Linked DNA regions of Lepisosteus oculatus. The protein of the gene in region 4 interacts with the protein of the main gene of each other region in a pairwise test. Links are inferred from orthologs where the notes say so. Each region holds a gene or a part of one and is shown on either strand. Other genes may lie near its edges.

Region 1 (7,303 bases), on a different chromosome or scaffold from region 4:
AAAAAACATTAAGCAGTTGCAGGCAGCAGTGTAGAGCAATTGTTAGGGTTTTGGACTCTTGAGGGTCATGGGGTCAAATTTCAAGTGGTTAAAGCTGTATATTAGAGCAATTTCAAGTCCTGATATCCCAGCCATTAGCAGCAATAGAAAATAATTGGGGATGCAAGGAAATAAAGAATCAGCTCTTCTAAAGATTCATCCCTTTTCACTTCAAACACAAACTTCAGCATCTAAACCTTTGCAGTCAATGATGAAGAGCAACAACTTTGCAGACAATTTCTAAGAAAAGCACACACATTGTATGACCATTTAATAGAACGTAACATACAGTAGGGTGGCTAGACTAATTTATTAAGAAAATATTGTAATACTAATGCCACTTAGTGCAATGTCAAAATAAAGCACAGACATGCTTCTGCCAATGAAGACTGTTAAGGTAACAGTAGTAAACTATCCCTCATGGTCTGGGGGGAAATTAATCTACTGTGCATGCTTACAGCAAATCCACAAAGTTACTACATTGATTAATCTGACAAATGGATTAAAAACTGGAGGTGTTTCAACAAAAGCTGTGGCTGCCTGGTATAGTTTAGAAAAAGGCTACAGTAGATGCAATCATAGTAACAGGGCCACATGACCTCTCACTGGGCCTCCCCTGTGCTTGCCTGTTGTTCCATGTGTGAGAGTTCACTGCTGTGACTGTACCTCCACCGCGGGAGTAGGCAGCTCACTCCATAAATTAATAGCTTTGTGTGAAGAATGACTTCTGTTTCAAGTGCCAAAATTAGTTTTCCTTACCTTCCACTTATGCCCTCTGATCCTGGGTTTTTAGTGTAAATTAAATATCTAGTTTGCTTCTCAGTCTTGTTTAAAGTTTTGAAAGCCTCAGTTGGATCTTGGGTAAGTGCTCACTGCTGTAGGGTAAAACGTCTCATCTGATGCAGGTTATGTTGCAGATCAGTGACTTTCTAGATGCCTTTCTGTGCACTTTTACTATATCCTGTCCTTAGATGTGGTGACTAGAAGTAAATAATACTCAGTGGAGCTCTTTTCATCTCCCCTGCCTCCTTAGGCAAAGACAGGCCTCCACAGTTCTGCTCATTATTCAAACCTGCTTTCTGAAATTCACCATATCTTAGACTAGATTTGGCTCTCCCTTGCTTTACTCCTTTAGTTTTGTGCTGCATTGATAGGATTTATTTACACAGGTTAAAAAAGCAGCAGAAAAGCATATTTCTCTTTATTGATTTTTTTACAAATGGACACAATTAAAGAGAAGTACAAGCACAATTGAAGATAGACAAAAGAGACCAAAATATTGTAATATAAACAAAAAAGAGTCCATTCCAAAACAGTGCAGAATGAATATACAGAATATTACGTACAATCTTAGTCAACACATTACAAAACACATATTTTCTTCTTTTTGCCTGTTTGCATTTCATTCTTCAAGCCTAGACATCTATCTGGCTGCTCATCTCTGGACAAAGTCCAGGGTAACTATTTTTTACTTAAGCAGAGAAAACTAAGTTAACTGAAATACTGAAACTGAAATTGGCAACCCAATGTACTTTTTGAATCAGTGAAACACAAACCAGAAGACATAAGAAGAAACAAGGGAAAAGGGCATTTTAAAATTAAGAACAGGAGACACTTTACACAAAGGTTTGTGGGAGTCAGTCAGATATCACCCAGCCATGCAACCTTTCTCAAAGAAATCACAGGACTACACGTAGGAAGAGGCCACATATCCTTCCTCAGTCTTTTAATGTAATATAATTGTGTACATAAATGCCACACCAAATGCAACAGTACACTTGAGAAAATACCCAGATCGTGATTGTGTCGTTGAATGCATTGTGCATGAACATGGTCCATCATATTCTTATATACTGGTGGCCAGCGTCTTAAAATCCATAAAATTACACTTCTAGTTAGATCTAGGAAGTGACTTTAAACCTTTACTTCATACTTTCCAATATTATCACTGCTACTCGTAGCAGATCCCCAACACAGAAAACGCTTTTTCCCTGTAAGAGGGGGTCTTAAAGCAGACTTAACTGTCTCAGAAGCTTCTATTGGTATATAGTTTAGAATACATAAATGAAGGCTTTTAGAAAAAGTCTCCGTTTAATACTCGATTTTCACTTTTCCTCAAGAAAATTTAGTTAAGTGTTACAGGATACAATACCGTCTGAAAAGGAAAATATCGAAAATTGGAAAGGAAAAATTACGTAACAGGGTTATACTAAATGTCACATCTGGGTGCCATATAATTCCTTGCAAAAAATGTAAACTCGTTTAAAAAAAAAGTTGTGAAAAAATCAAAGACAGTTTAAACCGTATTTATTATCCTGCGACGCAGCTCTTTTTAGGGAGAAAATCCTTTCAACATGAAAGCACGTCCCTTCCCCCCTTCGAATACTTCGCTCTCTCGGCACATCTGTTTTTACTCAGTTTCTGGACTTTCGTGGCATTCCTCTGCATCAGCTACTCCACAGCAAAACTATACTTGCCACGATTCCCCGATACCAAATCCGCATAAAACATTTTAAACATTTTAAAACGAACACGGCGCACTGTTCAACAGGCACGCTAACTTTTAAAAAGCAATAAGATGAAAGAGCTATTCTTACCTGAGATGGCAGACCTTAGTTCCAGACTAAGAATAAATAAATATAAAGTGCATGTGTAAAAGCAGCGGCAGCGAGTCCATGGAGAAAGCTTTTGACGGTCGCTACGTTGCATGCCCAGAGTTACGGAGAGGTGGGCTGTCGTGCCTGTGCCGGGGTGCAGTGATGAGCAGAGAGGCGCTGGGTGAGGAGTCTGCTCTTCTGTGAGCGCGGCCGGACTGGAGGAGCCGCAGACGCTGCGTCACCAAGCGCCCCTCGCAGTTCCTGCTGGAGGAGGCAGAGCTCGCCACCGCCAGGGCTTGCTGAACGGCTAGACCCCCTCACCTGAAACAACTAGTACGCGGTGCAAGAGTAAGGCTAGACCACCTGCCCGCGTTTACTCGGCTTGGTAGGACTGGCCTCCCACTCCTCAATTAGCACGATTGCTGGACCCACATGAACAGGTCGCGATTAGTTCTCGTCAAATCTATTATTGCCACTGGAGAGGCGGGTTCGGCGTCTTGGGTCTGGCTCTCCATTTCCATAAACTCATTTACCGTGTAATTTACAATCTAGATATTTTGAACCACGTATGTTACAATACTTTTTAAAAATAATTTTACCAACTAAATTATTTCATTATTTCACCTAATAGACGTTTTGTTATCCCCCTCTTCTTCCACGTGAAGACACAAAATAAATACGTGAACTGCCAGCACTTAGTTGGTAAAATCCGTAGCACTGTCCTAGTAATGGGCCCTAGTAATGTATAGTAGTAGTAGTAGTAATAATGATAGACTTTGAGGTATATGGCACCTTTCATGGTACATCATGGTGCCATCATCTCAAAGAGCTGTACCATAAAACAAAAGAGATGTATAATCACATTTGAATTGTAAATTAAACAAGAAAACATTAGAGCATAAATGTGAATTTAAGAGAATTTGGCAGTGTTGACTGATATGTAGGACGTGATACAAGATGGGACATCATTCCACAGTCTTGGAGAAGAGCTGAACAGGGATGTCTATCTCCTGGTGTTTCCCAGGAACCTCATAATGTGATCAGAAAGAAGGGAGCAAACCGGTCACTGGTGTAGTCAAGAATTAAACTATTCAAACCTTTAAAGGAGAACAGTAGAAATGATCAGTTTTGTTCTGAAAAGCACACTTAGCCAGTTCAAGGACACTAACACAGATGATATGTCCTAATGCATTTTAGTTTTAGTTAAAATCAACTCAATAGTTCAATAGTTTTGAATATACTGCAATTTCTTAATGTATGAGTATGGTAATATGAACTGCATTACAATAATTAAGTCTGGAAAAGACAAAAAATGAAACAGGGGGAGATGTCTACTGATGCCATGTTACAGAAATGATCAAAGATACCTTAACTACAATGTGAATATGAGCTTCACATTCAAGGCAAAATAACCCCAGGATTCCTTACCTAAGTACTTATACTGATTCCATGATCATCAATACAGTAGATATACTAAGACCTGTTTGTGGAGTTGATATAAAGAGCCAGGAACGTAACTTTGGTCTTGTGCAAGTTCACAAGTTCACATGTGAAACATTGTATAAGCATTTGTAAGAAGAAAGAGATCATTTGGTTAGATTTTGTGTAAATTAGTGTAACCTCAGTGTGGAAATGAAGGCTGATACCATACCTACAGTATGAAGAATTTGACCTAAAGGTTTTGAAAGATTTTGTCCTAAATATAGACATTAGAAATAACTATGGGGTTACTGCTAGATGTGCCAAATGGCCTCTTCTGTTTGTACCTTTTCTAATAGTCATTCAGATTAATTTAAAACACAAATATAAAGTACCTGGCAGAAACTCTGATTAAAATAGCAGCCTCTTTCAGAGATTTGAATGGATTTTGTTTTTTCTTAATAAAATTCTTAAAATAAAGCAATTGGCACAGATGAATATTATTGGCTGGCAGTGAAAAACAAATTGAACTAACTGGTATCCAGTGCAAAGTCAATGCTAATTAAACAGTGGTGAATTACCCTGGGCCTTTCACATTTCTTTGCCTCACTGGCAAATCAGTGCAGAGAATCTTGAATCTCCATAGTGGAACCCTGTGGCTCAGCCTGTGGTTTTGACTTTTCTTTAATTAGTCAGTATTGGCAGTTGTTCAGATGTTGAGCTTACTGGGAGGAAAGTTTTACTGCCTGCCTACGCCTCTCCTGTGCCAAAGAAGTGAGCCTAGTAACTTCACTCTCACTTCCTGTGCGGCCTACCCTGCCAAAAACCTCCCATTATTGATCAAGAAAGCAGAAAGAAATCTACTTTTGTCAGCCCTAAAACACCACACTACGTATTTGTACACCGTTCTGTTTGGGAGATGTAATTTTTGTAACAGGGTGTTTTCTACTGTGCTGAACATTTATAAATTTTAGAATCATTTGACAAAAGTTTACAGACAATCATCTTTTTTATTTGAAGGAAGACAGAATCTTAAGATCAGGAGAGCATGATTCCACTGACTGACTTAATTAATGCTATTATTGCGATTGGGTGAGAGGTTAGTAATAAACCAGAAGAAGCTAATATTTTAGTTGAGCTGTTGTTTGAAAAACTGTTTTCTTTTTGTTATTTATGCTTCTAGGGAGAATCTTGAAAGATGGTAGCAAGATCAGAAGACCTTTATCCAGTAAGATGGGATGAAATATGCTCTCTTTGCAACCTTTCCTGCTGACAGTCAACTAGCAGCTCCTCTTTGCAGTCTTCCTGGAGGGTCCTTACAAGAGCAGTATTTATTGCAATGGTACTGGAAATTGTATGGATTATGTACTGAGTGAGTACCTGAAGTATGCCCTTAGGATCAAGTTAGTAAATTCTTGTCTTTATCAAAACAGTTTAGCTATACATAAAACCATTAACTTTTTATTGACTCTTTATAGCTATTTTCATGTGAATTGATTCATAATTCTACAACTGGAAAGGGCGTAACACACTGCTCACAAAACATCATCTGTCTCTTTTTCTGCTGTGATCACACACATCCAGTCACGCAGACATGCTTATTGTCTGTGGTCCAGTCTAATACAGGTCCAGACTGGATTGTACTAAAACATCTTCTACAGTGGAAGAGTTGTACTTTTTAACCATAACCTAGTTACTGGCTATATGTCTGAATGTTTATGGAGGATTGATTCCATATGACCTTTTTCACACAAATTACTTTGTTGTGGAAAAATGGCAATAGTGGACCATCAGGATTTATTTTTATTTAATATTTATATTTCCAAATTTATTTAACTTTTATATTAACTTCAATCATTTAACATTGAAAAACTAAATTATTTAATATTTTTATTTTATCAACATGTGATATAATTACTATCTTGGTTAAGAAGGACTATCTGATTCCTGTTTATTGCGTTCATGTTCATCTTTATGACAAGTAAAAAGAAGTTTCTGAGAAACAAAGCTGATTCTTTTCTGAAAAAAAGACACTGTTCAGAAGGATGCAATTAAAAGCTAATAAAATCTGTGAAAATTATCTATGTTATTAGCAGCTTTTCAGCAATCACATGAAACAGAGGTCAAACTGGCAAGGCAAGCAATGTCTTTATTTCATTTATAAGAAATGTTGTCAATGTTATTGTTGCATCGAACAAGCACAGCATATCAAGCCAGAGCCTAGCTCTTCAAAGGTGCCGCCCTCGATTCAGATCGTCCTCTTGGGAGGACACATTGCAGAGAGTTTGGCAGCAAACACAGAGGATTCAAGGCCTTCAGGTGTGAGAAAAAAGAGCAATTGGGAAACCACATTGTTATCCCCCATAACACAGGTTTTAAACACTACTTTAGCTCGACTGTGCTTGTCCAGTTGGCATTAACACTCTACTCTGCTTGTGTATTTACACTTCTTTCAAACTTTGTATGCATTGCTAGATAACCTGGATAAAGGTATAACCTAACAACAATATAACAACAATAATAATAATAATAATTATAATAATAATGTGATTTATATATGTATACATATTTTACATGGCTACACAGGACTAACTGTTAAACAAATAACACTAAACAATCAATTTCCTTATTAGTATAATGGTCTGTGTAGTTGATTTGCTTTATCATTCTGAAGCATTTTATAGTCATTATGAAACAGAAAAGTGTCCAAAGCCTGACAGAAAGCATCTGAGAAATACTAAGCATCATGGTCCTTATCCATGAGTGACATCGCTATTAGGACACTATGGCTAGCCTCTTTATTCTCTCAGAGAATGCCTGGTCTTTGTTTCTTCAAGCTATAGATATATATAAGATCACTTTATTGGCCCTATACAATTTCTTGTATTAGGCATTTGTCTTTTCGCATACCCCAGCTTGCTCTCCATGAGACACACAGACGGGGAGAGAAGCTGGGGGTCAGAGCGCAGGGTCTGCCATTCATACAGCAGTTGGGGTAAAGGGCCTTGCTCAGGGGCCCAACAGAGTAGGATTCCTCTGCCGGCCACGAGATATGAACCAGCAACCTTCCAGCCACAGGCACAGATCCTGAGCCACCGCACCGCCCAGCTTATAGCATGTAAGTATGAAAACAGAAGAAAATGTTGAGTTAATTAGGATCCATTGAAACAGCAATGGCCAAGGACCCTCACTGAGAGCTCATGGATGCCTCACAAAAGCATGAACAACAGAACGCCTCCTGTTCTGTC
Region 2 (7,104 bases), on a different chromosome or scaffold from region 4:
TTGTATTAATTCTATTGCACCCATAAAAAAAATAAAACTACTTACTACATAACTAAAATATGTTGGTGTGTAAAAGCTGTCATGAATCAATAACTTGATTAACCTGTCTGAATTCTTCACTCTGTCATGTCATGTAAGTAGAATTCAAACTAAAATTAAAAGCAACACAATACTCCCATTGATAGAGCATGTTAAACAGAAATTGGTAGGTTTCATATAAGTGGACCAAATAAAGAATAAAAGAAACCTTCTTCTTACTTGGTCTGAAACTTTTATATGTTGGAAAACCACACCTTTGCGCCAACTTTGGCCTACTTTGACAAAGCTGTAACACACTGATATAACACTGCCCTCATTTTCTGCAAAAACAGCGTTATTATAGGATTTATTTGATTAAACTCAGTTTGGCGTTTTCTCATATAAATAATTTGTTTGTTTGTTTGTTTGTTTTTCCAGCTGGCTCTACTTTTCTGTTCTTAGTTACTCTGTAAGAAATTGCCACGAGAATGAAAACACACCTTTGAACTTAAACGGGTATACAACAGGTTCTATGGTACAGCAAAACGTAAGCTCTTTATTGAAAAACCCTGACTTGGCCAGTATTACATCACTAGCTATCAGAGAGACTGACAACATCAGCACCATGTATCCAAACTGAATTAAAAACAACAGCACACAAATGCTACAGTACGAATTTAGTTTTAAAAAAGTGCCATTTTTACCTGCATAATACGAATAGGGTTAGCTAAGGTTTATAAAGGCTATCCTGTGGCTTGTGTCTAAGTTTCAGCTTGGGGGGTTAGAGGGTATACAGTCACCATAGTGAAACCAGAATCTCTCAGTCAAGGAACAGCCCAAAGTGCAAATGGTGTTCAATTGTCTGGTGGTTTCAGACAGATTATTTGACTTCATGGTTTAGATGTCACTCCAAAGAGCAGATGTCTAATGGATTTAATGATTAATCCAGATTTTAATGTTTTAACATCTCCATTGCATGTGCAGAATAAAAAAACACCCTCAAAAGGAAGGTTTATGCTAGGAAAGGATACAAACATATTTGATGAGGGTGATGGGTAATTTGAAGACACTCCCTTTTTCTGTTTAATCCTCTCCAGGACCTACAATCACTTTGTCAACAGGAAATCTAAATTATTTAACTATATCTACCAAAACATTTTAGGAACTACAATAACAAGAGACAAGAGAAGATTAGGGTGGAAAATACAGATACTGTATATGGTTACATTCATGTGCTCACTCTCAATAATAAATTATCGATGTATTCCATATTTGTATCATATTGAATTATACTAATAAAACGCAACAGGATGGATAAACTTAAATAATATATTTAATAAGTATAAAGAACTGGACTGCTACACGATTATAAATTTTAAGGTGACAGTTTCGTTACGGTTTTACAATGTGCAAAAGCATGGGTTGATACTAATCCTCTATATTTAAATGTATCACTCCCTGAATGAACCGTTTAACAGTTTAACTTTTAAATTACCATACTTATACCTACACATCACTTGCTTATGTATGTGTACACTGATCCAATGTGTACGTGTGTACAGAAAGGCAAATAAAGACAGAAATGGCTGCATACATACGTACATGCACAATATACAGAATGAACGGGGATAGACTACATGTAAGTATTCGGCAGCAACATGCTTGTTTGCGTGTATGTGGCATGTTTTTCTCATTCAGTCACTCCCTGTTTATAGGCTATAAAAATCTAAGATCAGCCAAGATTGTGCACACCGACACGAAAGAAAACATACGTTAAAACGCACCTATACCAGCTAATATAACTATACATTCCGAGATCCTATTCCTGTTTAATCCACCTCTCTCACAAAACGAAATAATCTTTCTCTCCCAGGAGTGTTGGGAACCCAGTTCCTTCAACCCGGTACAATACATAACGTGAGCTATTGAGGCCGAAGTGATGATCGTTCGTGTGTTTTCTGATTTCCTTTACTCAGTGTCAATACAGGGGTCAATACATGCTCAGGCGTACACAATGTATAATTAACATTTCGCCTTCACAGGATGCTGCAGAATCATTTCCTTTCAGTTATGTGTGATAACAGAAAAAAAATAACCCATTACCTATTTTGAAAAACGCGTCTGCATCCGAATCATTCAGTCCTTCATCGGGTGCTTCGGCTGAATTCATCTTCTTCTTTCTCCCGTGGATTTCAGAAAGGAAAATGTAACTCGAAGTATATCCAGTGATGTGTCTCACAGAATCAGTGCACGATCCCCTCCATATTCTTGTGTTCCTGGTCGCAGCTGTTCGCTTTCCAATCGTGGGTTTCCGTCCGTGTTATTACAAAGAACAGCGCTGCATTTCTCTCTATTGTTCAGAATTCACCCTCCTCTTTCTAGCAGCTCCGGCGCCACAAAAGCAATCCACTGCACATGTGACACATAACGAGGATGCAATAAATTGTTCTGCAAATTATGTTGCAGCTATGTGCAGTGTTTAGTTTATGCGTTTGCACATTTTCGAGATTATTTTGTATATATCCTTACAATTAGCTGCACAGAGTAAGGAATCAGCGTATGGTTGCTTTAGAACTGTACCTTGGCAGTATATTGTAGTGATGTCATACAAATCTGCATAATGTAAGTGACTGGTGCAGAGCAAGGGGTTTTGATCTTGAAATACAGTAGTTACAACGTCGGATTTCTGTTTTTCAATATGCTGTTTCTGGTGCCGAGACACAGCCTGAGTAGGTAGAGATAACATATCACCCTGTGTCCAAATATATGTAAATAAACATGTACCTACATTTTGCTAATTCCGAAAGCAACCTTATCTAAACAAACCTCATTTGTTCTCAAAGGCAGTACGTCTGTTCGTGTGTGGAGAAAGCGACTAAAATAAGTGTACGTTTCTGACAATGAGTGACTTTCCGCACCCTTTTTCACCCCTCCTTCTCACTACCCCGTCTCCTCCTTTTTCCCGTATTAATAACCAATATATTCGTAGGCAGGTCTAGCAGCATACAGCTCCCAGTTTATGCAACTAGAAATATTTGACCATCTAGTGTATAGTCACAGAAAGTCCAATTACTTCGACAACCAGAGTTGCAGTACCTGAATTTCACGCGATATTTTTGCCTAAAGAACTTGCTCCTGCCAGCTTCGGTTCGGGGCTCTTTGTGTTGCACTCCTGTTTTGACCTCATCATGCCCTCAGGAATGCACGGTATGTGTACAGTTATTTTAATAGCCATGCAGATGAGTCATAGAAGATACCATGTTTGGCACACATATTTTTTTCATTTTGTGTGTGCAGGGTGAGTCACCCGATTCATTCATCAATGAGCGGCCAGTTCATATCCCCCAAATGTCATTAAATGTCTGGGTGTTTACACACAACCGACTTGGGTGGTAAAAATGATTACAGGCTGTGCAATTCTGTATATTCCCGGAATCCAGATATAGCGACGTTATACTAGTTACAGCCCTAACCATCTGTCATGGGAAAGGCACGCTGTATCTGAAAATCGAAGCTCCTTTTTTATCAGAAACGAAGGCAATTTTGCTATCTTCAACCAGAGTTCTGGTCATCTACCGCCTCCAAGCGACAACAAATTGTCAAGAACATTGTAAATTTGGGGGGAAAAAGACCTACAACATGTCCATAGACCCGTTTCTTACTCCATTCTTCGTTGAAAGAATGTAATGTCATAGAATAAGCTAACATTACTAAGCATCGCTGACCTTAACGGATGCACAATTCTTTAATTTTGTTTCAGTAACGTACTTGCAATCTAAAAATATTTTTTTAAATCGTGGAGGCCTTAAACTGTTACACATACTGTATACTGTAGTAACAAATAAGTCAATTGGTTAACAGACAACGCAGTTGGGATATAGCGTGCCAAGCTCTTACTGTGTCCAACATTCTTTTTTTTCTACAGATTTAAACTCTCAATTGTATTGTGAAGGATTCTTTTAAAGGTAGGCATCTTGGAAAAACAATAGTGGTGGAATAGTTATAATTTATAGTAAATGAGCTCATCTCACAGGTATGTAAAAAGTTATGTATGCGGCTTCACCGAGCAGTGGCCGGCTTAACTATTGTCAACATGTATCTTACAATAATGTGCCTACATGTGTCAACTAGCACTGAAAAATGTAGGGTTTGAATAAACGTTGAAGTGGTAAGAATTCACGAGGAATAACGACATCCAATAATGATTTCATTTGTGAATATTAAGTATTTTGTAGTATAATACGTTTCGGCATTAAACTGCTCGGTTTTGAGATAGCCCCCTGCCCATAGGATGAGGATTGGAGTTCACCAAGGGGTAGGTTGTAAAAATGGATAGAGGAGGCCTGAGACAAAATGCGAAAAAGAGGTGTTTACTTGTGATACAGATTATTCATGATTATGATTTAGAACAACTGGGTGAAATTGGCTTGTTTGCCATTATCCCCGCCAAACGTCAGTAAAGAACCTCTTCTATTTAAAACGTCTATTATACAAAATATTTAGTATAAAGACTTTATGCCAATAGTTGTGGTTCCAACCGTATTTTAATTTCACAAGGTAGCAGCTGTGACTCATACAAGGATAAAACATGAGAAGTTCTGTAAAGCTAAGCCACTGAATAGAATAAGTGAAACAAGTATGGACAAGGAGAAAAAAAACTTAAAGCGAAGAAAATAGCAGGTTATAAAGATTTTGTGGTGACTCAAAATTTGTAGGGCCATAAATTACAGGAAAATCGAGTCCATTGTCGTTTTAAAAATAGAGATAATTTGCCCCCTAGTGGTATATTTTATACACGACTAGTACTGCAGAAGATTTCTCGTTACTCCAAGATTACCACATACTGTATGAGTTGTAAGATATAACGGCTCCCTGCCATAAAAAGTTGATAAAAATATATAATTTGGAAACATTCTTTATAAGCAAACACATTACACATAGAAACACCAAATTTATTAAAAGAATAGTAACGCTTTTGAAAAAAGGCTTTCATTGGTGTTGTAGACTTAGACATTAACAATATTACATTTTTGGAACGGTCATATCGTACACAGTTAATTATGTTTGGTCTCTACCAATTCATATTATTTTTAAAGCTATACTTTGAATACTATTTGTAAGAGAAAAGAGAACTTCTGTCCGTTTGGTTTGTAACAAAAGGAAAAGGAGTAGCAAAGAGCTTGTTAGCCAACAGATTCATGTTATCCTAGAAAGGCTCCGTAGAACTGAACCTATTGCAGAAGGTGACGTCACCCTCTTGAAGCCTAGATAGTCTACAATTCTCTTATAGTAGAAAAGGCGGTTTTCCGTTTTTCTGGAGAATAGTGCGTTGCTACCGATTAACGCGGAAATAAGAATGGAATAATTAGGAACGTTACAATGTAAAATAATGTTTTAAATTACTTTGCCATGATGAAACGGTACGGTATGTACAGTATTCACAGCTTACTTAAGAAATCCTGTCTCCCATCTCGTCACAGCTACATCACAATACACACAGTACCGAATAAAATATCCTTGTTAAACATCAGGTCAAATCATCTGACAGCTGCACACCTGAACACTCTTCTCAAGTTTCTAATTTTTGACGACACTATCAACTAGAGCGACTGGGCATTGTTCAGAAAAGTCAAGGTCTAGAGGTCTGGAGACGATTGTATTTATTCTAACTTTTACAGACTGATATACTCTAAATGCATTATTTAAGTACTTTTTTATGGTGAAGGTGGTCTGCATCGATTTAAGGACTTATTCATATGATAGACTCTGTCGCCTGTACATACCGGTAAACTTGTGGGGATTCACGATAAAAGGCGATGTTTTGATTTTTTAAACTGAAAAATGTCTTTAGAGCACTAAACACACTGTAATCGGAATGATGAAAACGTAGCCCAGTCCGTGCTGCACTTACTGTTTAGAAAACGGACAGAAAAACAGGTTTGAAAAGAACAAGACACGCAGTTCATTTAATGAGATGTCTATAGACCTGATTAAGAAATCGCGCTGTGATAGTTTTATGTACAGTGTAGTCTGTATAAAATACATTATTATTTGTATTGGCGCATTTTCTATATATTAAGTGAAAAGGAACGAGATGCAGAAAGAGATATTGGAACACGTATATTAATTTGACTATTTCTGGTTTGTTCTGAAATGCATGGCAATTCATTAATTAAAAAAATGTTTCTTGGTGAAAGATTGATAGTTTTGATTTCGCGATTATGTACTTTGTATTGCCTTGAAAAGGCTGGTCTGACACCTTCCACTGTTTGTAGCAATTTTAGACTCTTAGCATCTGTTTTTGTTACGTTGGTTTTCTTCTGATGAATATGCATTTCATCTTGATCTTTTAAGATTGGGCACTGAAATGCCTCTTTCTGGAAAGCAAGTCATCATCCCACCAGAGCTACCAGACATTCTGAAGCAGTTTACTAAAGCTGCTATCAGAACACAGCCAGCCGATCTGCTAGAGTGGTCTTCTATGTAAGTTCTTCCATTATTGAAATACTGCACTCAAAACAGCTTGGAATCAAATATTGCAGTATAGATTCTCCTCTTGTGAAGTGGGGATCTCATAGGTCTAATGAAAAGCCTGCAACTTACAGTAGGTAGCAGTGATAGCTTAAGTGTTTCTTCAATATTTTTCTCTCAAAAAATACTCCATAGCTGTACAAGCATTAGGTTTTATTAACTTACTCCAAGAGGAGCATATCTGCTTTATAGAGAGGTGTTTTTCCTTTGTAGTATGCTTATTAGACTTTTACATTTAAATTATATTATTGTAAACACAGTACTTAGGAACCAAGAATATATAACTTTTATTAACTGTTGTGTGAGATTATACCCAGTCTTATCTTAAAAATGGCAGATTAAATAGAATAATGTTTCACTAATGATGTTTATGTGTTTCTGAAATCTCCTCTTCTGGGATAAACCTGATTTCATTAATGGCACAGTGAACGTGCTCTTATGATCAGTTTATCAAATAGCTGTGTGAGAAGAAAAAAATATATTTACACAGTTGCTGCTTTATGTAGGGGATATTTAATCAAATGAAAAGGAAAACAAAGAGAGGAACTGACACTA
Region 3 (7,361 bases), on a different chromosome or scaffold from region 4:
AGAGCAACTCTGAATGCGTGGCCCATGAAAATTTAATCCAGACAGAAACCTGAGACTGGCTGAGGAGCAGGGTGGAAAAGCAACGCTCTCCTCATCCACCTGCCTGACCGCTGCGGGAGGAGTGATGAAGGAAGAAAGAGAGGATGGAGAGAGAGAGGAGGGAGAAGAGGACGAGGACAGAGAAGGTGTACTAGAGATGGAGAGAGAGCCGAAGAAGCTGACAAACGGGCTGTGAGGGGGAGGAATCTAAACAGAAAATAAGAACAAATATTCAAACAAATAGTGAGGAAGGCCAATATAATCACTGACTGTTATGACCATCCCTTGCACAATTAATGTGAGGTCCTTCTACCAGAGCATTGATTTAGAATACCAGATTTAACTTGTGCAATAGGACTAAGTTATCCTTTATTCCCATGGCTAATTACCTGCTTAATCTGGACAACAGATTGTATATTTTAATTTTTTGCATCATGTATCTTAGGTATCTATCTCATGCACTGAAGATCCAATTTGTTTTTTTCTTAATTATAAAGGATACGTAAGCCACTAAAACATGTTTTTCTTCATTTTCTGCATGCATGTCTCTTATTTGTAGACGTCTCTTAAATGTATTATGCGTTGTTTTATATCTGGTACCTGACTGCAATGCCAATTTTCCATCTGGTGCAATAAAGGAAGGAAGTGGGACGGAAATAGACTGCCATGGAGGAAAGCAGAGGAGACAATGAGGGTTCAGCCCCTCTGAGCCAATGTTTTATAAACTGTCCAAACACCCCAGCCCTGGGAAAGCTAGTCTTACTGCAGCAAATGAAGCAAGCTGTTACAGCGTTCTCTGTCTGCTGGCATTGAACCTCTGCTGCTCAAACACTGAGCCAGAGGCCACACACTGACATAGGCAGACACACGCTCACGAGCCGCAGCACTGTTTCAGACAAGAACACGCAGGGACACAGAAGTGTGCAACCTACTGAACGGACTGTTCTTTCACTCAGTAATTAAGTGCATTTTGTTACTGTGCCCTGGAAATGGAGAATGAGGCACTCGGATAATGATATTGTGTCACTGTCCTGAATGTTTGTAAATGTTTTGCTGATTGTTATTGCTTTGGCAACGCTGTAATTCATCAGTCATACCAATAAAGCTCTTTGAATGTGAATAGTTATCAGTCTTAGTAGTTTGTTTGTTTGAGAATTTCTTGTATTTCAGTCAATAACCATGTTATCCACCCGAGACCCAGAAAAAGACAGGAGGTGTGATGAGTTTATTTCTCAAAATTGGGAAACTGAAGAATGTACTGAGTAAAGACATAGACAGACATTTTCAATCCAGTAAGGGATAATTTGTAAAAGCAGAGTGAGTCCTTCTCACAGCTATTTTTTCTATCAATACAGCCTGTAAAAAGCCTTGCAAAATATTTATTTTATCCTCCCAAGAACAAAAAGATGTTGAAATGTTACTTTCAACATCAGGCACTAAATCTAGTATGTAACTCTATTCAAAGCTATTGTTAGCTGCTATATTGTTTATAAAAGCCTGTATTTCCTCAAATACAATCTGAAAGTAGCTTTGAAATGTTTTTAAAGCAGCATAACAGTGTAGAAATTGTGTAGATGGACACTTTTTTGTAGAAAAACGTTTAAGTATATTCAGCTTTTTCCTTAGGACAGCGTGTTCTGTAGCTTTATCTAAATTTCATTTTTAAAGCTGTTTCCACAACACAACAGATAGATCTGAATGATGGGATATAAGTTAGATTTGACTGTTTCACCATATCAGAAAGTAGAACTGTCTAATTAAATGTCTAATTCTCCTTTGCATATATTGCCTTAATCTAGTGTGTTATTAGTGTTTTTTCTATGCAGCCACAAGGTGGCAATATCTTACAATATCAAATTAATATCAGCCATTTCCCTATGTAGGCATGATAGAGAACTACAACAGTAATTTCTGTGACATAGATATTGAATTCATTCACTGAATCATCGTGGGATTACCAACTTTTTATCCTTTCCAACACTCTCTGCATTTCCTTTTTCTTTAGTGACAACAATCTTCTGTAGATCCATGTCACTTTTTATACTGTAAAGCACACAGGCATATACACACTGCAGGTCCGACTAAGTTGGGATTGCAAGTAAAGTAATGAACAGCCAATTATCTAAATTGTTGGAGGCTTTTGGAACAGCAACCACTGGTTAGGGCTGCCCCAGTAGGAAAATACCTGTGGATAGTCCCTCTCCTCTATCTGGAACAAGTGACAAAGCAGTGGTGAAGGAAAGGAATAGGTTTCTAAGTCTGTGCAGAAGCTAAACCAACAAGCAGTTTTTGGAACATTTCTTTTAAAAAGGATTTAGTTAAAGTTATTTTTTAAACCTAATCAGTCAAGTCATAGGTGCAGGGTTCTAATCCTTGAGGACCAGAACCAAGCAGGTTTTCTAGGTCTATTTAAATCATCAAATGATTGAGACCTTTGAAAATAATTAACCTGGTCCAATTCAGCTAATGATCAGGTCAACTATGTCATTAACAGTAAAAATGGAATAACACCTTGCAGAGCCTTCCAAAACAAAGCTGTGTACCACAGATTTGGCTGTGTGTGTACTTGCTTTTAAAATAACACTTCACCTCATAAAAGTAATTTGTAGCAACTTCTTCACAACTAATTGGTTAAAAACTAATAACATGAATAACTTGCAACTGTAACTGACTACATTTTATAAGCACATCTCCAGAACTGACAAGAAAATTCCACTACATTCTCCAGCTTCAGATTTGTACCCTCCTTGTCCTGTACTAAAACATCTGTCCATCTGCAAGCTGAACACAGATGCTGTCAGCAGCTGAAACACCTCCAGTCTCAGCTCTACACACTCCATTCTCCCTAATAAAAAAAATCAACATATTTACAAACAGGTCAGAAACAGCACCTACCTGGTAGATTTACATTTCCTTATACCTGCTAGTCCTGCATGCCACACTGGTGTCACTTTTCAATATACTTTTCTAATAAAAGGGAAGCAACTCTGAAATGCCCTGTGATCTCAGCCTGTCACCACGGAAATGTCTGTGATGTCACAACTCTGGTACTGTGACATCATCAGTTGCTTGCCTGCGCAATTTAAGATTTTGACTAATTCATCATACTGTAAGAGAGTTCATAGCATTCCACTACACAGCATGAGGGACCTATATCAGCCACCCCTGATATAACCCTTAGATGACACATAGCAGCTAAAATGTACCAGCAGCCCTACTACACACCTTACCTATCCAGGTGAGAAATAGTTTAACTGAATGAATTAAGGGGAATGTTAAGAAGGCCAGAGTGAACAAGCCAAAAGTGCAACATGGGATCTTTTATTACTGAGTCATAAAAGTCAGGATCTTGGTTAAATGTCTTATCAGATGGATGATACCTCCTTAAGCACAGAGTTCCTGGTCACTAAACTACTGTAGAACATTGTCTACAGTAGGAACAAAATCCTAGTCTGGAAGAAAGAGTGCCACCTACTTGACTAACAACACCCCTCACAGTAGTGACTTAGTTTTTGCTGGAACTGTCCCATCCAAGTAATGATCAGATACAGCCTTGCTTAGTTTCTAAGAGCGGGTTCAGAGACAGTTTCTTGTCAGATTATTGAACTTTACCCCTACCCACACCTATATTTGTTTTTTAATTGTATGTTATTTAAATTGTTGTTGTTGCTGCTGCTGTTCTGTTTTTATGTTTTTGGTGGTTCATTTAATATCTTTGTATTGGAGAATACATGCAAATAAGCAATTCATTGCACTTGTGCATATGACAATAAACTGAAGTGAGCTATAATGCAGACTACAAGGTGGTTACTCTGCTGGTAAACAGTACCTGCAATATCCAGGCTCTCTAGTAGGGTCTAGGTCATAGTCTTTGTGCAATACTATTTTAACATTGTGCTCTGCAAAAGACAACTGAACCATGAAACACACTTTATGATCTTTGGCTGAAAAAAGCTGAGGAAATAGTTGTCTTTTAAATACTTTTTGTTTTTCATTTTCAGTTGATTTAATGATAAATCAACATAACTGGCTTTTTCTCAGGAGCAAAATATTATACAGATTCTACTGGGTCTTTGTGTTGCCAAGAACCTTAACAGACAAAAGGTTCATCCAGATTCATTTGATGAATAGTCTGAGCAGTTTGCAAGGGAAGCTAAAATCCAGCTTTTTTAAGAATATTAATAAATGATGAGAGACCACAGGTAGGGAAGATCATGCTGCAGTTCAGGTAATGTAAGCCCTGCCTTCACAGACAGAAGCTCTGGTTGCGAGGGGATGGATCTCATTGCTGTGGCTGGCAGAGGTCCATGAACACTATGATTTACTGGGCAGTTTGAACACATGGATACTCCAGCAAACCTGTCTTCCTTGGGAAGTGTTTAAGGGATGGGGAAAACGATGGGGAAAGAACCGGCAGTTTTTTCATCTAAATTTAGACTATTAACCAGTCTGTGTCTGTCATTTTGTGCGTGAGACAGGGACAGAAACGGGACAGATGAAAGGAGAAATGGAGAGCTCGTAAGACACAGGGGGAGGAGAGAAAGAAATGAAGGAATGCGATAGACGGTGAACCCTGAGACTGGCGCTGCGAGCACTACGGTAAGAGAAGCAGAGCTACAAGAGGCGTGCACATGAAAGTGAAGGATAGAAAGATAAAGACAGGTGGGGGGAGAGAGGTGGGGTAGAGGGGAGATTTGAGAGAGATTTCTGGAAAACAGAAAGAGGACAGAGGAAAGAACGAACAGAAAAGTAAAGAGACAGAAAGAAGGTCTTTGGCTCAGGTAAGATGTGACTGATTATTTAAATAAATTAAAAATTAAATGTGGTGATTATTACAGTATCTTGCATTGGATTCTATAGTGCTCATATTCCTGTCCAGAACAGCAGTGATTGCCTCACCATGGCAATGGTCTTGTCGCATTGTTACTGATGTGTCTTTCTGGGATATAACTAAAAAACGGGAGACTGAGAACAAAAAAAGGAGAAAACACTTTTTATATGGTGTATCATCATCTTGTGCAGTGCTTCAGAATGTTTATGTTTGCTCTTTACCTGTTGTGCCATGTGGTGTGGATTCAGCAATGAATTGATTGTCCCGCCCATCAATGTGTCGTGAAAGAGGGTCTCTGAGTGTGTGTATCACAGAAATCATGGTGAATTATAACAATAATTCATTAATGAGAATAATTCTGATCTGGGAGTGAAGTGTGTCTGAATTCTGTTTTTGTGCTCTTTGCAGTTAACCTTATCAGTTTACCACTTGACTGTTAGAGGAAAGACTTCTGTTGCAAGAACAGCCAGGGAATCCAATCCTAATCCTAATAACAATTTTGTCGTATTATTCTCCCCTGAGTACCAGTAGATCAGGCTAGCATCAGAACAAGCAGAATTCCTATGGACCTCTCGATGTGCTTCTGTTCTAATGCCCACTGATGTGGGTGCGGGGTTGTTAATGTGTTCCAACACTCCTAGCAGCTCAGCCTGAAGACTTGACGATGCTCCTGGCCCTGACACTGCTGCTCCTGCTGACTCTGCACCCTGAACCCAGCACTGTGAGTAATCACCCCGCAGATTCACACAGCCCCAGCTTCCTGCTGTATTAACAGCCCTAGGCTGCTAATCTACTGATGAGGCACAGCACACAATCACTTGGCTTCAGCATTGTTGAGTGTGCTCCTATTTATTGAAGACAGGGTTTGAAAAATTAAACTACAGAAAGGCTATGTTATGATCAGCTGGCAGACCTACTATTCTTCAGGGTGTAAACAGCACTGAGTACTGCACATGCTGCACACCTGCGACTTAGTTGTTACAGGTACAGAGAGACACCTCGGACCAGCTGACACTGCAGCTCCCTCACAGATGGGCTCTTCAGCATAGCCTGTCTGCAGGGACAGTGCAGCAGCTCTGGAGAAGACTGATGGACACAGAGTCTTTTGCTGTCCCTCTGCAGCCACTGCGCACACATGGAGAAAGTGGTGCATGCCTTGACAAAAGATTTCTGTTCTTCAATAAAAAATAATTGAGAATTTGCTTTGAAACATTTACAGCAAGTACTCAAACATGTTTAAGTGTTTAGATTCTCGTTCTATGCTCGTTTGTTCATTATATGGTATTTCGAACTGAACTGCCGAATTGCTATTCTTCAGAATTTGTATTGGGTTTTCGGATGCCTGTGCTTGAGTCTGTTGAGCTCGGGCTATGTGACTGACCAGGCTGAACACCTGTTTCCCATTTCACTGGACCTGGGCCAGGACAGATGTGCTGGCACACACTACAAAGCTGAGCCGGAGAGAGGCTAGCCTCTCCATTGTGAAGACTCCTGCTCTTATTGGGCTGATGTGAGGAGCAGGGCCCCTGAGCTTGAGCTTGATAGGAAACATAAAAACAGGAAGGAATGAGGGATCAGATCACACAGAAGAGGTAAGAATTCACACTCACGCAGCTGGGGCTGGTCAGGACTGTACACTGGGACCAGGCAGGCTAGAGGATCCGAGCAAGGACAGGCTGAGCAAGGCCGGAGACAGATAGGAGTGTGAGTGTGTGGAAACGCTGTGCTGTGTTCCAGGCGGGCAGGGCCCAGCGGAGACAGAGACTGGCAGAGGAGACTCTGAGGCCATACGTGGAGCGTGTAGATCCAGGTGAGTCTGACGATCTGAGGGGGTTACAGAATCTGACCCAGGTACGAGCTGCCTTGCTGTGGTGGATCTATATGTAAAGCACCTCTGGATACTGTAGGATATAACATGCTACATAAATGCAAATGATTCCATTCATTTATTTTATTTTTTTATAGTTAGGGATTTAGTGTTAGAATTTGAATTAATTAGATAATTAGATAATGAAACATCTACAGTTTATTGAAAACCTCCACTAAGTGTTTTTTACTAGTATAATAACTTTGACAGTTCTCAATAACAGAAGAAAACCAGGCTTGTCATTTAGCAGACTCCAGCTCACATTGATCAGAATCCTAAAATCATGTTGATCAGCAAATCCAGGTAAACTATACATGAGCAGCCTATACTGTATATATACTGTACTGTAGTGGCTAAACCAACACATTTACCAACCAAATCTCCAGAATCACTGTCAGCACTGCTAACATCCTTTTTTACTTTTTATACACCTGTAAAGCTAAAGGGCTTCTTTTTGTACTGCACAATATAGATCTATCAAGATTAGCTATTATCTTAAAACAAAATCACTAAAAATCACTGCAGGAATGTGCTTCTTTATACTTCATTACTAAGGTAATGAAATGATCTGGATCAATAAGGGGAGCAGGAATTACATTTGGGATGTACCTAGAATTCTGAAGG
Region 4 (7,508 bases):
TATGACCTCTAGGCATTTAACATAATCTTCCTGTTCAAGAACAATATGTGGTCTCACACACCATTTACTGTAGCTTATAAAATCAGTGAGGCATTTCAGTCACATGGACATTGTAAAATGCCCTTGTAGGAGGACCTCCTTAGCAAAACAAAACAGAAAATAACAAGAACATTTACTGGGTGCACATTTACATCCTACCTGTTTGAATTTACAATATTTCTGCACAGAAATAAAGCTGCAAAATAGGGAGGTACATATGAAATGAGAGTCCTCTGAATGTCAAATTAGAGGCTTCAAGGTGCAGATTTCTACTGCACACGTGGAGCAGCCCAAGGATAACAATGTACTGTAATTGTCCGCGCTTGAAAAAGCAAAAACATTAAACTGCTGAGTTAATGACTTGTGTTGGTCTCAGGAAGACTGAACTTTTGTGGTATACTTTGTTTCCTAAACCATGTATTATGTTGTTTTAGTGTAGGTTAAGGGAGAGAGGGTGTGAAGCTCAGTTTGGGGATAGCGTTATAACGGGGATTAAAGGGGAACTGCAGTCGCAATTTCTCCAAGAGGTTATTAAATCTCGGTAACAATTAATTAATTACTTACTTAATTGATTAATTGACGGTATTGCACAATTTGACAAATTCAGAATTAAGCACACTGGAAATACCTCACCGGAAATTTTGTTGTCTCATTCTGAATCACAGACTACAACGGCAATACAGCGCTGCACATATGTGGAACTTTTGTCTATTTTGTGATGTAAATTGGAGGTTTAACAAGTTACTGTGCACGTTTTACTTTCATTCTGTTTGAAATCCACTCACCAGTGGTGATTCTTTCTGACCCCAAAATATGAAAATAGCTTTTCAGTGCCCATTAAGGATGGGCCAGTTTACCTCCCAGTATGTCTGTGGCCTGTGGGAGGAAACTGGAGCACCTGGTGGAAACTCATGCTGACACAGGGAGAACATGCAAACTCCACACAGACAGCAGTCTGGGAATTGAACCCAGGGCCCCAGCACTGTGAGACAGCAATGCTAACCAATGTGCCAATCTTGTTTAAAAAAACTGCTCGTGATTTTCTTTTGAGAAATAAAACAAGATGAGGTACAGTGTACTTCATTACTGCCATTGTCACTATTTAAATGACATTGTTAACAGAAACAAGTATATCATGAATCATAAGCATCAAGGAAGAAGACTTGTTTTTACACAAAGGATCTGCTTTCTGATTAGGACAGAAAATGCCTGTCACTATCACTTCACTGAATTCCCCTTCAATATCAACCGGAGAAGACAGTTTGCACGTTCAAGGGTCATAGGAAGCATTCAAGACTAGAAAGACTGGGTAAAGAAAAATTAAGACAAAATGAAAAAATACGATTTTTTATTTCACAGCCGTTTTCTATCAAAATAGATACCACCAGATGTGTACGCCTCGAACAATAAACATTTAAACACCCAAGGATTTATTTAAAAAAATCTTTTGAATAATTTACCAAAAAAAAAGCCCTAATTTATAGTAATATTACATCGCTATTGTTTAATTAAATAAAAGCGGAATTGTAATTAAGTACATTGCCATCATAACTTGGTCAACTTCACAGAACGAGCGATGATTACGACAGACACTGAAACGGATATTTCTCAATAAGACAGACAATGAAATACTGAAGGAAGTGCAATGAGTGGTTTCATCCTGTCCGATTCTTAAGTGGAATATTACCCAAGACGGAGTTTTTTTTTTAAATCTCAATATGTCCACTTTGTATCTAATCCCATAACCAGATAAATCAACTGAAAAGAAAATCACGTTTATGACCACACGTTTATACACACTTTACTGGAGCAAAAGGTTGTTTGAAGGTACAGCATGAACGAATTTACTTCTTAGTGCCTTTGGCCGTCATTAGATGCACCTTTTTGCATGTGCTAACGGGGAAAGAACGAGCAAACACTTGTATAGTGACTTTCACAGCAATCAGGCTTTACAGCTTTACGGCTTTCAAGGGAAATCGGCGCATCAGAATAGGATGTGATGTTAGTGGAGGACGCAGCGGTGGGGGAATTGAAAACGTGAGCTATCTCCACATTGTACATTGAATAACCGCTATCACCACAGCCGCCACGATTGCCGCAACGAGACACGTAAGCACCCATCGCGCTGTGGCGCACGTTAGTCTACTTCGCCTTCTTGGGACGGGAATCACGGTGGTCACTGCCGTCACGCTGACCGCGTCCTCGTCCGCCATGGGCCGGCCCTGGCTGGTGATTGTGAAAATCTGGAGGGTGGGGGCAGGGCCGGGCGGTCGGGAGCTGACCCTTCTCGACGAAGCCCTCCGGAAGAACCACACGGCTCGGCTGGCTCCGCTGTCACCGGCCCGCGGGGGGGCGCGGCCGGCGGCGTGGCGGGCCGGTGATGGCGGCGGAAGGGGGTGATGGAAAGGGGGTACCGGAGGAGGAGGAGAGAGGGTAACTTCCAAAATCTGCGCGTCCTTCCTGGCGCTCTTGACCTTCACAACGTCCTCCCCCTGTTCGGTGAGGAACGTCAGGTGCCTGCACATGGGGCAGATGATGTGCCTGGTGATGTGCCCACTTCTGTTGGCGCCGACCAGAGTCTTGACCAGACAGTCGTGGCAAAAGCCGTGTCCGCAGCTCAGAGTCCTTTTGTTGTCCTTAAGGGTCTCGTAGCACACGGGACACTCGTCACTGCCGGCCCCCGTGCTGTTATCCCCTGTAGACATGCCTGCCGTTTCCCACTTCACTCCCCCAGGAGGTGACTGCAGTCAGAGCGCATTACAGATCACCCCGCATCCCAAGCGATTCTCCTCCAACATCGAAAGAATGCCCCGACTTCCAGCTCCACTACAGTATGTCCTTCTCAGAGCCCTGTTCAGCCCTGCGCTCGCCTCATCCTGAGCCCTGATTGTCTTTTAACTGATTGTCACCAGTGTGGTGAAGCGATACGCTCCCGATCCAATATTGTGTCAACAAGCCGGTTATCTTAATTCACACACGACATCGAGCGCCTTCGTGACCGCCAAGGTGCGCCCACAGATTCCTTTACATTGGACGATCAAAAGGCTGAAAAACCGGATTGTCTTTGGACTTTTTGTTTTACTTGAATTCAATAAATTACTTATAAAACAGCCCTTATGAAAAATACTTATATGTTTATACATAAACGAAGTCTGATTTCTGCAGAGCATTTTGATGTTCTGATGTAGGTCATCTATAGGTTAAGGGACAACACTATATATTTGTTTATACAGCACATTCCCCGGAATTATCACGAGTTAGGTGGAATAGATACCTGACCACGTTTTTTGTTTTCCCCTGTAGAGGTAACACAGGTAACACAGCTGAGTGAAAGGAGTTCTGAAACTCGGAAATAAGCGTATACGGTTGATAGCACTTACGCAACATTTTCAAAATACTGAAAGCAAACGTAAAATCATAAATATAAAATCGCGATCAATGAATCTGTTATTAAGAACTTTGTCCCTTTGTTAAGAGACAAAACACTAAAAGACCCGGCTCTCACAGCACTAGATTTGTCACTATTTTAAAACGGTATTTATTGTTAATAGGGTAATTAGCCACTTTGGGACTAATTGAGAGGCACTGTGGCTGTGATTAATTGGCTCTTGTTGGACGGTGTTACTTTTTCTGTAAACTTTTGTTTTGATAACCACTTCTAAAGTGATAGAAACTTTTACTTGTTTTCTTGTGTAATTTAATATGTAGTACATGCAATACGTTGTTTGGGAAAAAAAGAACACCAGATAGTGTATTTCCCCTTTTTTTCTTTTTTTTTTACACGAGTCGGGCATTTGGCGGCTGCAGATCTTCCACCAGTCGGCGCACGACGATAAAAAAGAAACGAAACATTGGAAAAATACGGCTGTTTAATTTGGGTGCCGATTTTTAGGTAGACATAGGTGCGTGACATTGCTAAATTAATTTCTAAATGAACGGGCTCTCCATTCGTTTAATTGTATAAAGCATTTAAGTTCTACGATTTTTATTAAGTTGCTAAAAATGACATTCATACGTGTAAAAAAAAGAATTCTCACGACTCAAGAAAAAATGTGTGGCTGTAGTCATAGCATTAAAAAAAAGTATCAAATGATATTTCCAAGAAATCTGAGTAATCCTTGAATTCCAATCGGTGTGCAGTTGCGTCACCCGGAGGGAAGGCCGTGCGCGTCTGTGACGTCACGTCGTGCCGGAAGTTGCGTGACCCCGGTGGAGAGGGGCTGGAGAGCCGAGATTCAGTTACTAAACAGAGAGGAGACAGGGGATGTGCTGAGACCCAGACGCCCAGAGGGATACGGGCCGGCGATGTTCAGGTAAGGACTAGTCTCCACGCTCCGAAAATGCCGAGCAGGGTTTGAAGCGGCGTGTATTTTACGCGGAATGGCTGCGGTTCGACGGGGGGAAGGCGACGCCGTCGTTGTTGACAGCCGACTTCTGTCTGACGTGTCATGTTTCTAGGCAGCAACTTGAAATTCCCACTTGCACAAAGATCGTATCTGTGGCTGGCTTGAAAATATGTCACCGAGATTAGAAAAAAAATGGTGCGGTCTGCTCTAGGTCTTGTATGGAGTAAAGGGCCGTTTTTGGAGACGTCAGGTAGCTCTTCGGGTATGTATTTTTAACTTGTTACTCTAAACAACTTGCGCTTCACCTAGTGTGACTCGAGCTGTATGTTCTTTTGCCCGTAGATGCGTGTCCGTTTGTCACTTTTCCAAAAGCTTTGGTTTTTACAAATTGTTGACTCGTAATTGTGAGCTAACGAGGTTAGCTCCGTTCATTTCAAAAGGGACGATGCTAAATTAGCTTATTCAAATCGTTTTTTGTAGGTTGTTAGACTGTCATTGCTTGAGATGGGCTGTGTACTTTCCTCGGACACGACTGTTATATGTTAGCCTCTTAGCTTTTTTTAATGTTCTCCAGTCTTTTCCAATGAAGACTCACCAATGGTACCGGTTTTTGATTCTCGGGTGCGGCTTGTCCCATATTACGTTTCTCGGGCTTGAACTGCAAGAGGGTCAGTCTAACCTCTGATGCTCCCGCCCTTCATCCGTGTTCATTGGCTGGGATCAGGATGTGACGTATACATTTCGGTTTTAATTGGGTAACATGACTGCCACTCAAACGGCCCTGCTGTGTGCAAGTTCCCCACGCTTGACAGAAATAAACCCATGAAATGTAGGATTTATCAATCACGTTTTTTTTTTTACAAAACTCTCTATATATCACATATCGCGTAAAGATGACACTTTCGTAATGCAAACCGTTGTCACAGATAAACAGAGCTGTCCTCTCTCTTGTTCGTTGATTCTAGACAGTCCACAACGTTGAACTGGAATATTCAGACTGAAGGAAGTGTTTTTAAAATTCTTATGTCATTCCTGTGGTTTATTTGAAGTAGCGTCTGTTTAAGCCTTCGATAGTGTGTATGAGTTCAGCACAGTAAATTTAAATTGGTATTCTTTCATATTAATAATGCTTGAATAAGAAGGTGACATTTCACATAAGTTTATCAATTTACATTGATAGGTTGTTTACCTTTTTACAACTGACCTAAATGTGAACTATTTATAGAATCATGGGAACATGGTTTTTGATGAAATGTCAGCCAGGAGATGACCTCCACATGATGTCTTTTAAGTTTTAATTTCCAGCAAGTTGAATCTCTTCCAGTTTGTTGTATGGACTTTTATTATTGGGTGAATCGTTAAATAAAAAGGAGAATGAAATATATTCTTTTTGGTCTTAAGGCTGAGGAGTGAAATTTTGGTTTTCAGGACTCTTTACTGCTTCCTGAGTGGGAAGTTACTGTTTTTACTTTCGCACTTTAACGTTAATCAACTTGCTATTGCCCTGGTGAATGGGCATAAATTGGTAAAAGAATGTATCGGGCTGACACGGTTGTCCAAAACAGCAGATATTTGCACCCATTTATACATCTGTGTGTTTTACTGGAGAGGCTGAAACAAGTCCCGATCTCTAACCATTGCTCCATACTGCTGCACTAAGTACATAAACAAGCACGGCACTGCTGGCCTGGCAGGGATCGAACCCACGTCCTGGGTGTTATTAGTACCACATGTTGACCAGCTACTGTTTTATCTCTCAGGACGTCTTGTTTCTCACAGCAGGATGGACTACATCATGTGTTAACCTAGGAGAGGGGTGGGTGAGAGAAGTTTGCAGAAGCATCTCATTTGTCCAATATCTTCCTTGCGGCTTCACCGCAGTGACTCAACTTGGCCCTGTTAAGACGGAGGGAGAGAAAAGGCATAAATTGCTTTCTACCATATTAATGACATCCAGATGGGCTGGGGTGGCTAGAATATGTGCTGGCAGAGGTCGTGCTGGTTTTACTGGAGGTGACGCAATAGTTAGATCATGAGAATCTGTAAACGTGGACTTTGGTTTGTTGCTTTAACTTTCGTTGTAGTCTCCTGAATGAGTTCATGTTCTCTTATGCAGGGTGTTCTTCTAATCTAGCTTTTTGTATGTGTGGTATCCTAATGAGATTTTATATTTAAAATAGACTTATGTATAGAATGTGTCCTGTAGTGAAAATGTATATACCACATAATTGCTGTACTCTTTCTTGCCATTTATTATTCTTTGGGCTTCTTCTGTCCTCACTGTCTGAAGGTAAACATTTAAACAGTCCCGAGTGTCAATTTCTGTATTGCATTACACATAGTTTCACTTTTTTAAACTGTCTAAATAAAGCTTTGCTCTCATGTTTATCTTGTGGGTGAATTCATAACACTGCTTTAAATGTGATTTGGGTTTGTGATCCCTATAACATCAAGAAGTAGTAAGTCAGTCTTCATGGCTTTGATTTTCTAGTATGTCCGTAGCTCACCTATCAACCAGTTTCTCCTTACACAGTGCATTATAAAGACGTGTATTTATTGAGAAAATCCTGCTGGTTCATCTTAAGTCATGAATGCAAACCACCAAAGTCCCTGTATCTTATAACCAATCTAACATAGTTGGTATTGACAAGTTCCCCAATTAGTTTATACTTTACTGGATTATTATATATTATGTTAAAATGCTTGGAAATTGAAATTCTTACCTGAACTGCCTATAACGTTGAACAGGGAAAGTGTGTTAAAATCAGTCATTGATTTGGCAGAATCCAGTGTTTTTGTTTATTAGTGTAGAATGTCCAAAAAAACAGAATGTCGTTACTTGGTTATCATAACAATAGCACTGTGAAATAGTAACTTCTATTCATATATATATAATTTTTGTACTTGAGAATATAGAAGTCCAAGTGTTGTCCACTGAGAAAGGGGAGTGAATCAGAACATCTGAGGTAATAGTGTCCTGTCCAGGTCCTGGAGCACCGCAGTGCCTGTGGGTTTGTGACCCAGCTGGGCTCTTAACCTCCGTTAGCAGCTTAGCTGGACTAGCTTGACTTTTCAGGTGTTGGTCATTTTTAAGACTCACTAAGATCATCTGATGTAGCCTTG

What was found.
Region 1: the proteins of ndel1b (region 4) and mrc2 interact in a two-hybrid assay, tested with the Homo sapiens proteins (2 studies listed by BioGRID and IntAct). The link is inferred for Lepisosteus oculatus from reciprocal best matches to the Homo sapiens genes NDEL1 and MRC2.
Region 2: the proteins of ndel1b (region 4) and kalrna interact in a two-hybrid assay, tested with the Homo sapiens proteins (2 studies listed by BioGRID and IntAct). The link is inferred for Lepisosteus oculatus from reciprocal best matches to the Homo sapiens genes NDEL1 and KALRN.
Region 3: the proteins of ndel1b (region 4) and serine-rich coiled-coil domain-containing protein 2 interact in binary tests that used the Homo sapiens proteins (3 or more experiments, as listed by UniProt). The link is inferred for Lepisosteus oculatus from reciprocal best matches to the Homo sapiens genes NDEL1 and CCSER2.

The regions. Positions count from the first base shown.
Region 1 is NC_090723.1:138,152-145,454, reverse strand, and holds the start of mrc2 (C-type mannose receptor 2), read right to left. Parts: upstream 3,023-7,303; 5' UTR 2,749-3,022; coding exon 2,637-2,748; intron 1-2,636. UniProt on the Homo sapiens protein: May play a role as endocytotic lectin receptor displaying calcium-dependent lectin activity. Internalizes glycosylated ligands from the extracellular space for release in an endosomal compartment via clathrin-mediated endocytosis.
Region 2 is NC_090707.1:11,601,661-11,608,764, forward strand, and holds the start of kalrna (kalirin), read right to left. Parts: upstream 3,010-7,104; 5' UTR 2,189-3,009; coding exon 2,122-2,188; intron 1-2,121. Other genes in the region: ropporin-1-like, read left to right, coding at 6,386-6,501. UniProt on the Homo sapiens protein: Promotes the exchange of GDP by GTP. Activates specific Rho GTPase family members, thereby inducing various signaling mechanisms that regulate neuronal shape, growth, and plasticity, through their effects on the actin cytoskeleton.
Region 3 is NC_090699.1:28,717,144-28,724,504, forward strand, and holds the start of serine-rich coiled-coil domain-containing protein 2, read right to left. Parts: upstream 3,015-7,361; 5' UTR 2,935-3,014; intron 1-2,934. Other genes in the region: sparcl2 (SPARC), read left to right, coding at 5,535-5,591, 6,608-6,680. UniProt on the Homo sapiens protein: Microtubule-binding protein which might play a role in microtubule bundling.
Region 4 is NC_090704.1:43,782,703-43,790,210, forward strand, and holds the start of ndel1b (nuclear distribution protein nudE-like 1-B), read left to right. Parts: upstream 1-4,488; 5' UTR 4,489-4,577; coding exon 4,578-4,647; intron 4,648-7,508. Other genes in the region: RING finger protein 222, read right to left, coding at 2,082-2,744. UniProt on the Homo sapiens protein: Required for organization of the cellular microtubule array and microtubule anchoring at the centrosome. May regulate microtubule organization at least in part by targeting the microtubule severing protein KATNA1 to the centrosome.